Saccharomyces cerevisiae S288C: one gene and its partner. The gene in region 1 interacts genetically with each later gene. Each region holds a gene or a part of one and is shown in the gene's direction. Other genes may lie near its edges.

The links.
Region 2: mutations in DGK1 (region 1) and SCS3 together harm fitness more than expected from each alone (negative genetic interaction), as found in Saccharomyces cerevisiae (4 studies listed by BioGRID).

The regions. Positions count from the first base shown.
Region 1 is NC_001147.6:897,642-901,922, reverse strand, and holds DGK1 (diacylglycerol kinase), read left to right. Parts: upstream 1-1,994; coding exon 1,995-2,867; downstream 2,868-4,281. Other genes in the region: SPS4 (Sps4p), read left to right, coding at 1-65; 60S ribosomal protein eL20 RPL20B, read left to right, coding at 729-729, 1,156-1,673; RNA-processing protein NOP58, read left to right, coding at 3,563-4,281. UniProt on the Saccharomyces cerevisiae protein: CTP-dependent diacylglycerol kinase that catalyzes the phosphorylation of diacylglycerol (DAG) to phosphatidate (PA). Controls phosphatidate levels at the nuclear envelope.
Region 2 is NC_001139.9:269,024-272,639, forward strand, and holds SCS3 (Scs3p), read left to right. Parts: upstream 1-1,973; coding exon 1,974-3,116; downstream 3,117-3,616. Other genes in the region: mitochondrial 37S ribosomal protein mS29 RSM23, read right to left, coding at 1-52; U2-type spliceosomal complex subunit CWC23, read right to left, coding at 270-1,121; mediator complex subunit SOH1, read right to left, coding at 1,369-1,752; methylenetetrahydrofolate reductase (NAD(P)H) MET13, read left to right, coding at 3,497-3,616. UniProt on the Saccharomyces cerevisiae protein: Fatty acyl-coenzyme A (CoA) diphosphatase that hydrolyzes fatty acyl-CoA to yield acyl-4'-phosphopantetheine and adenosine 3',5'-bisphosphate. Preferentially hydrolyzes unsaturated long-chain acyl-CoA substrates in the endoplasmic reticulum (ER) lumen.

The DNA.
Region 1 (4,281 bases):
GAAGTTTGTTTAGATTTTTTGGCAACAAATCTGAGGGAGGAGATTTACCACATCTAGTACAATAAGTTCGCATAGAAAATAATTTTAATATAGGCGAGAATTTCAATTTGTACCTACTGGCGCAAATTCAATAGGTGTTATCTATTGAAAGCACTGAACTTAAATTTACCAATGTATACACGCTCAACATAAAAAAGAGGTAAAAGAAAATATATTTTTTTGTAAGGAAAGGCTTAATAAATATTTACAAGCTAGATAAAAAAAAAATCAAATAGCAAGCTATTCTGTCATATCTTAAGGTGCTGATTGTTTGTAGGCACGAAGTAAACAAGCTCTTCCCCAAAACAATAAATACGGTTTTCGGGACTGTTCACCCGTACATTTTACGTTTCCGACGGCGCGATGCTATCTTTGAATTTTTATCTCTTTCAGGTAACCCCATGACCAGTAGGGCGGCTTACTACCGAAGAGAAAAATGTCCGCGGCCTAGACAGTTACTTCCCAGGCCAGGGCCAGGCCACACGGACAGAGGCAGATTCCAAGTTGTTCCGCATAGTCTGTCTAGCTCTTTCTCAATTTTCCGCCAGATTCTGTCTAATTTCTTTCCGCTCGAGTTGGCAACAGTACGAAGAAGTAACTCTAATAGATAGATATAACCGTTTTTGAGGGCATTATTTTTGCAGAAGATAATAGAAGAGAACCGTAACAAAGGAATCAAGCAAAGAAAAAGTATGTAATAGAATGTATTGTATGCTTGTGGAATGAATGTCAATGTAGCTATTTTATATGGTGAGCTCAAATTGAATGAACATATCGTGGAAATTTAAAATACTGAAGAATACCCAATAAGTCAATGCAACCTGTGAATGTTTTTCCTGAAATACGCCGAATACTGAATACGATTATTACCATAAATTGCTTCTAGAAGGAAGGCGGTGTACCATTTAATACTGATGATATGGTTAATATCATTTGAGAAGTCTTCACATGAGGACTATAGAACTACCATCCAGGAATTATAGAGGAAATTAACTGAATCAGAGATCTATTTTGAAACATTCATTTACATGTAATTGTCTGCAATAAAGCAATATTTTTGAAATATGCAAGTTTACTAACAAGAATAAATTCTTTTTTGATTTTTATCTTTAACAGTGGCTCATTTCAAAGAATACCAAGTCATTGGTCGTCGTTTACCAACTGAATCCGTTCCAGAACCAAAGTTGTTCAGAATGAGAATTTTTGCTTCAAATGAAGTCATCGCCAAGTCTCGTTACTGGTATTTCTTGCAAAAATTGCACAAGGTTAAGAAGGCTTCTGGTGAAATTGTTTCCATCAACCAAATCAACGAAGCTCACCCAACCAAGGTCAAGAACTTCGGTGTTTGGGTTAGATACGATTCCAGATCTGGTACTCACAACATGTACAAGGAAATCAGAGACGTATCCAGAGTTGCTGCCGTCGAAACCTTATACCAAGACATGGCTGCTAGACACAGAGCTAGATTTAGATCTATTCACATCTTGAAGGTTGCTGAAATTGAAAAGACTGCTGATGTCAAGAGACAATACGTCAAGCAATTCTTGACCAAGGATTTAAAATTCCCATTACCTCACAGAGTCCAAAAATCTACCAAGACTTTCTCTTACAAGAGACCATCAACCTTCTACTAAGCCAACAAGATATTTCTACGTTTTTTAGTATAATAAAATTTTGTATAATTCATTTTGTAGATTCAAGGAAATTTTAAAATATATCCTGTTTCTTCTCTTACATTATGCACTACCAGCGTGAAAGCACAATGTCATGCCATGTATCTTTACAAAATCCAGGGTCCATAGCGGGTAACAAATTATTGGTTTTTCTGCGATAAATATAAAACGTAGCGTAATTATAAAAATCCTGAGCGGTGTTGTCGTAGAGCAGTTGAACATTACGTAAACAGATATCTACGCATTTCTGTCATTTGGATTCATACAGGGTTTACAGACAATATGGGGACCGAAGATGCCATTGCCCTTCCAAATAGCACGCTAGAGCCGCGTACCGAAGCTAAGCAAAGACTATCATCTAAGAGTCATCAAGTCTCGGCGAAAGTAACGATTCCAGCAAAAGAAGAAATTAGTAGTAGCGATGACGATGCACACGTTCCAGTGACAGAAATACATTTGAAATCTCATGAATGGTTCGGCGATTTTATAACTAAACATGAAATTCCCCGTAAGGTGTTCCATTCTTCCATTGGCTTTATTACTTTGTACCTGTATACGCAGGGTATTAATTATAAAAATGTTTTATGGCCTTTGATATACGCCTTCATCATATTGTTTATTTTGGATCTGATAAGACTAAACTGGCCCTTTTTCAATATGCTTTACTGTAGAACTGTGGGTGCGCTAATGAGAAAAAAGGAGATTCATACATACAATGGGGTATTGTGGTACATTCTTGGGTTAATCTTTTCTTTTAACTTTTTCTCTAAAGATGTTACCTTAATATCGTTATTTTTGCTAAGTTGGTCCGATACAGCCGCCGCAACTATTGGAAGAAAGTATGGTCATTTAACACCCAAAGTGGCAAGAAATAAATCCCTTGCAGGTTCGATAGCTGCGTTTACAGTTGGTGTTATCACCTGCTGGGTATTTTATGGCTATTTTGTTCCTGCCTACAGCTACGTCAACAAACCTGGCGAGATCCAATGGAGCCCAGAAACAAGCAGATTAAGTTTGAATATGCTATCCTTGTTAGGTGGTGTGGTAGCTGCTTTGAGTGAAGGTATAGATTTGTTCAACTGGGATGATAATTTCACTATTCCTGTCCTGTCATCACTTTTTATGAACGCAGTAATCAAAACATTCAAGAAATAAAAGCATATATACCAAAAACAGGAGTGTTTTATATTCTTCGGTAAGTCTTTTTTACAGTAACTGGAGTGCGCGATTCAGTTTATCTGTGGTTAACGATCCAGCACCTCTTCGATCTTTGGCATCCACAAATTATTTTTCTAAATATCCTACATATCCGAGTATAGAGTTAGAACCTGTGTAAATTATTCAGCAGTATTTCCGTATTTTTCACGCCATTAGAAACATTCGACACAAGCAGTTTTATGAAAACATTTATGTTACTAATATATGTGCCAACAAGCGCATCCAAATGGGGCGCAACATTATTATTTAATCGTAAACCTACACCATATTTTCATCAGTAAAAAAAGGCTTTTTCATGCCCCAACTTTGTCACAAAGCAATCATATCAGAGAACAATAAAAAAGAACAATCCTGCGAAATACGATTACCAAGATCCTGAACCAGCGTTCATTTATCTTGGCATCTCAAGGATATATGGTTTATCTGCGATTACCGCCCAGTGGCCTTATTGATATTGATATCATTGTGTACGTTAGAACAGAAAAAAAGAAATTTGGAAAATTTTTCAACCTCATCGAAAATTTTCAGAAAAGCAAGAATTATTTATGCTTTCGCAAAAATTTCGCATATAAGTTATTTTTGAAATAGCAGTCGATACCAAATTAGCTGTAGAACCTCAACCTCCTCATACAATGGCTTACGTTTTAACTGAAACTTCAGCTGGTTATGCTCTTTTAAAAGCTTCCGATAAGAAAATCTACAAATCTTCAAGCTTAATTCAAGACTTGGATAGCTCTGACAAAGTCTTGAAGGAATTCAAGATCGCCGCCTTTTCCAAGTTCAACTCTGCAGCTAACGCTTTAGAGGAAGCCAACTCCATTATTGAAGGTAAAGTTTCTTCCCAATTAGAAAAACTTCTGGAAGAAATTAAAAAGGACAAGAAGTCGACCTTGATTGTTAGTGAAACTAAACTGGCAAACGCTATTAATAAGTTGGGATTGAACTTCAATGTTGTTTCCGATGCTGTAACCTTAGATATCTATAGAGCTATCAAAGAATATTTGCCAGAATTGCTGCCAGGTATGTCTGATAATGATCTAAGCAAGATGTCTTTGGGTTTAGCTCATTCCATCGGTCGTCACAAATTAAAATTTTCTGCTGACAAAGTTGATGTTATGATTATTCAAGCAATTGCTTTATTGGATGATTTAGATAAAGAATTAAACACATATGCCATGAGATGTAAAGAATGGTACGGGTGGCACTTTCCTGAGTTAGCTAAGATTGTTACTGATTCCGTCGCTTATGCGAGAATTATTCTAACAATGGGTATCAGATCCAAGGCTTCTGAAACAGATTTGAGTGAAATCTTACCAGAAGAGATTGAAGAACGTGTCAAAACCGCTGCTGA
Region 2 (3,616 bases), on another chromosome or scaffold:
CCGTAGTGAACAGCCTTTGCCCAATGAATCTTGAAGTTGACATACGTAGCATTATTCTGATACGTATACCACGTGGCTTGTACTTGTTCTCTTGTTAATGTTTTCCCTCGAAGTATAGAAGTTGATGTATATATACAATATACATATATATATATTCTTGTACATAGTACTTGCTGAGTTTCCTTTTCTTTTTCTTCCGTTTTGTAAGAAAGCCCCGGAAAATATAGTGTTCCATAGGATAAAGAAAAACAGGCATACATATGTGCAAGCTAGTCGAGTAGGATAGGTTCATTAGAGACCAGTCTTGCAATATCGTCATTCAGTTCCGTCTCCAAATTAAAATCAGAGTAGTAATGTAGCGGGATCAAGGGCGAAATATCCTTGACCGTGGGTATGAGGTTCCCACTTGACCAGTTTCGGAATACGTGCTGCGCTGTGATGGGAGTATCGAATACAGTATATATGATGATTGAATCATCCTTCGAGTAGTTGTTTCTTTCAGAGAAGTAGATGTCGTAGATTTCATTAGCACTTAGCGTGATGAATACTTGATTGCGCAAATGAGATAAGCAGTTTGATTTATTATTTGATTGCAGGAAGTTGTCAAGGACAATTCTCAAAGTAGAGCAATCGTAATACGGATGTTGCGAAGCATTTTCTTGGTCTTGTGTGTTGAGATGTTTCCAGTCACCATAGGGCAAGTTGAAATGTTTTAGTTTCCTGAGTAGCTCGCCGTGGCGTTGGATTTGCAATAAATCAGGATGTGGTGTGGTGGTGGGTATCGTACTCGATTCAGATTCTTCCAGCTTTTGTATAAGTTTATTTCTTTCAATGTCGTTTGTTTTCCGTAGGAACTCAATTAACCAGCGGTCGTAATGGGGTCTCACGTCTGCATTGGTGAGGATATTAGTTGCGGTCGATAATAAGTGGAATTTGTGTATAATTGATGGATTGTCCGGGTGTTTGTCAGGATGATACTTCAGGGCAAGGGTCCTGTATTTGCGTTTAATTTGGGGCAAATCATCGTAGATGGTATGGACGTCCAGGGGGGTCGGTAATTCTAATACATCATATAGGTTCAAACGTTGATTTATTACGTCTTCCAATTCGTGTCCTGGCATAGTCGTGGCGAGGCTTGTAGTACGGCGATGGACTTGCTTTTTGATTTTGCTTTCATCTTCTAATGTCTTGCGAGATAATATGCAAGGAAAACAAAGGAAAGAAAATACAAAGTAATGCGGCTTGCATATATATATACATATATATATGTATATATGTGATATATATATGTGTGTGTGTGTATATATATTCATGAGTGTATAAAATAGATATATGAATGCGTGCGAATGTAGTTATAATTAGGTGTGTTCAGTTGGCCCATCTTTCTACCATTTCATTCATCCATTGCGGGCCTTGTAATTGAATGATCTTGGGCAGCTCGTCTAGCCCTTCCAGCAGGCCATCTTCATTAACGATCGCCGACTCCATGAACCCGTTCAACAGCTTTAAAATGAAGAGACAGTTTGGATACACAATGCATTGCGAATAAGGGGGGTTGCACCAGTACTCCAGGTATTTCAAGTAGTTTTTGAAGTTAGGAGACTTCCAGATCTGCTGTTGAGTGAGTAAGTACGTTACGTATTGGATGTTTGCCAGTGACTGGATAAATTCGAGCTCCACTTCGAACCTCGTGGGGAGAGGATTTTGATCCGAGGAAGGTGTCGCTGGTGCGTTTCCATTAGTGCTTGACATCCTGGGTGGAGCTTGGGGGAACTTTGCCGTCTTATGAGTGCTATAAGTTTTGGCTTACTTTGCCTCATTTTTCCTGCATTTCTTTTTCTTTTTCATCCTTTAAGAACACGTTAGCGGGAAAACCGTGAAATAAAATACAAAACGAACTGTTCGAAAAAAGCCAAAGGGGAAACGCCTAAAACTCCACTGAAACCAGCTATAAAGCACGGCATATTACAACAATGTCTAGCAAATGGTTTAATGCTATACACCTACTGGTGTGCCCGTTGACGGTACTGGTAGGATATCTCATGAACGCGTATGGCTACGGTGCGGCGCTGCAAGCAACCCTGAATAAGGATGGTCTGGTAAATGCTATGTTGGTAAAGAAAGGGTGGTTTTGGACTTCCTTGGTCGGATGGTGGTGTATTATACGCTACCGTGCGGTGCCGGGGGCAACCGGCAGAGACCGAAGACACATTGTCCAGTCATTCAAAAGGTATGCCATACTGACAGTGTGGTGGTACGTATTCACGCAAGGTATATGGTTTGGCGTAGGCCCCATCATGGACTTGGTATTCGTATATACGGGTGGCCATTGTCACTATGACGTCTTCGATGATGCAGGTCACGTGAACGAAGACTTCCAGGGTTCTGTCACCCGGACTAATCGCGCGTTGGCGCTCATTCACAATGTCCTCACTTTGCACGGACACCACCAAGAACACCGTCAGCAACAACTCTGGGACCGCTCCATAGGGTCGATCCAGGGCGCCCTGCAGGCGACGCAACCGAAAACCCCAAAAAACGTAACGGCCAGCGCTGCCGCTGCCATCAATACTTTTATTCATGACCAGATGCACAGGTGGCAAGGTCCGTTAACCACCTCGGCACAGTGCAGACGTTTTGGAGGCCATTGGGCTGGAGGACACGATCCATCCGGGCACGTGTTCTTGGCCACCTTGATGTGCATGTTTCTTCTAGGTGAGCTACGTGTGTTTGGGCGTCGTGCACTGGCTCACTTGTACGCGCAGAAATGGCAGCTTGTACGATTGGTGACCCGCCTTTTCGACACTGGACCGCTATGGACGTGGCGGCGGTGTGGCGGCGGCTCAATGACCTGTGGCGCCCGTTTGTGGCGTGCGATAGTCGAGCCGCCTGTCACGTGCGCGGCCGCCCTGCTCCGTTTGACGCGATGCATAGCATGCGACCACCCAGTAATCATACTGCTGACGCTATTGGTCACGTGGTTATGGCAGCTGCTGTTGACTGCGGTGGCGTCCCGTTTCCACACCGTACGTGAGCACATGTCTGGATTGCTAGCTGCGTACATAGTGACAGGCCTTGTCTACGCTCGCGACGCAGCCGCGCTACGTCCAGTATGACTCAGGAAAAGTTGGCGATAGACCACGAGCGACTGAAAAAATAACAGCGACTTTTCTCCCGGTAGCGGGCCGTCGTTTAGTCATTCTATCCCTCGGATTATAGACTGTGAATATTGCATATGCAACTTTGACTCAAATTTTTCCAAAATTTGATATATATATATATATATATATGTTTGTATGTATATATATATATACGTATATATATCATATATACGAAAAGTAGAAAAAAAAAGGTGATATTTCGCTCGTGGAAAAGCTAATGCCACAGCTTGTGTTTCGTGTAGTTTGCCTTGCTCCCCTTGATTGAAATAGTCTCCCTAAACTAAAGTTATCAGCAAACAGAACCACCACAGTTACTACTACAACCACATCGCAATATGAAGATCACAGAAAAATTAGAGCAACATAGACAGACCTCTGGCAAGCCCACTTACTCATTCGAGTACTTCGTCCCGAAGACTACACAAGGTGTACAGAACCTGTATGACCGGATGGAC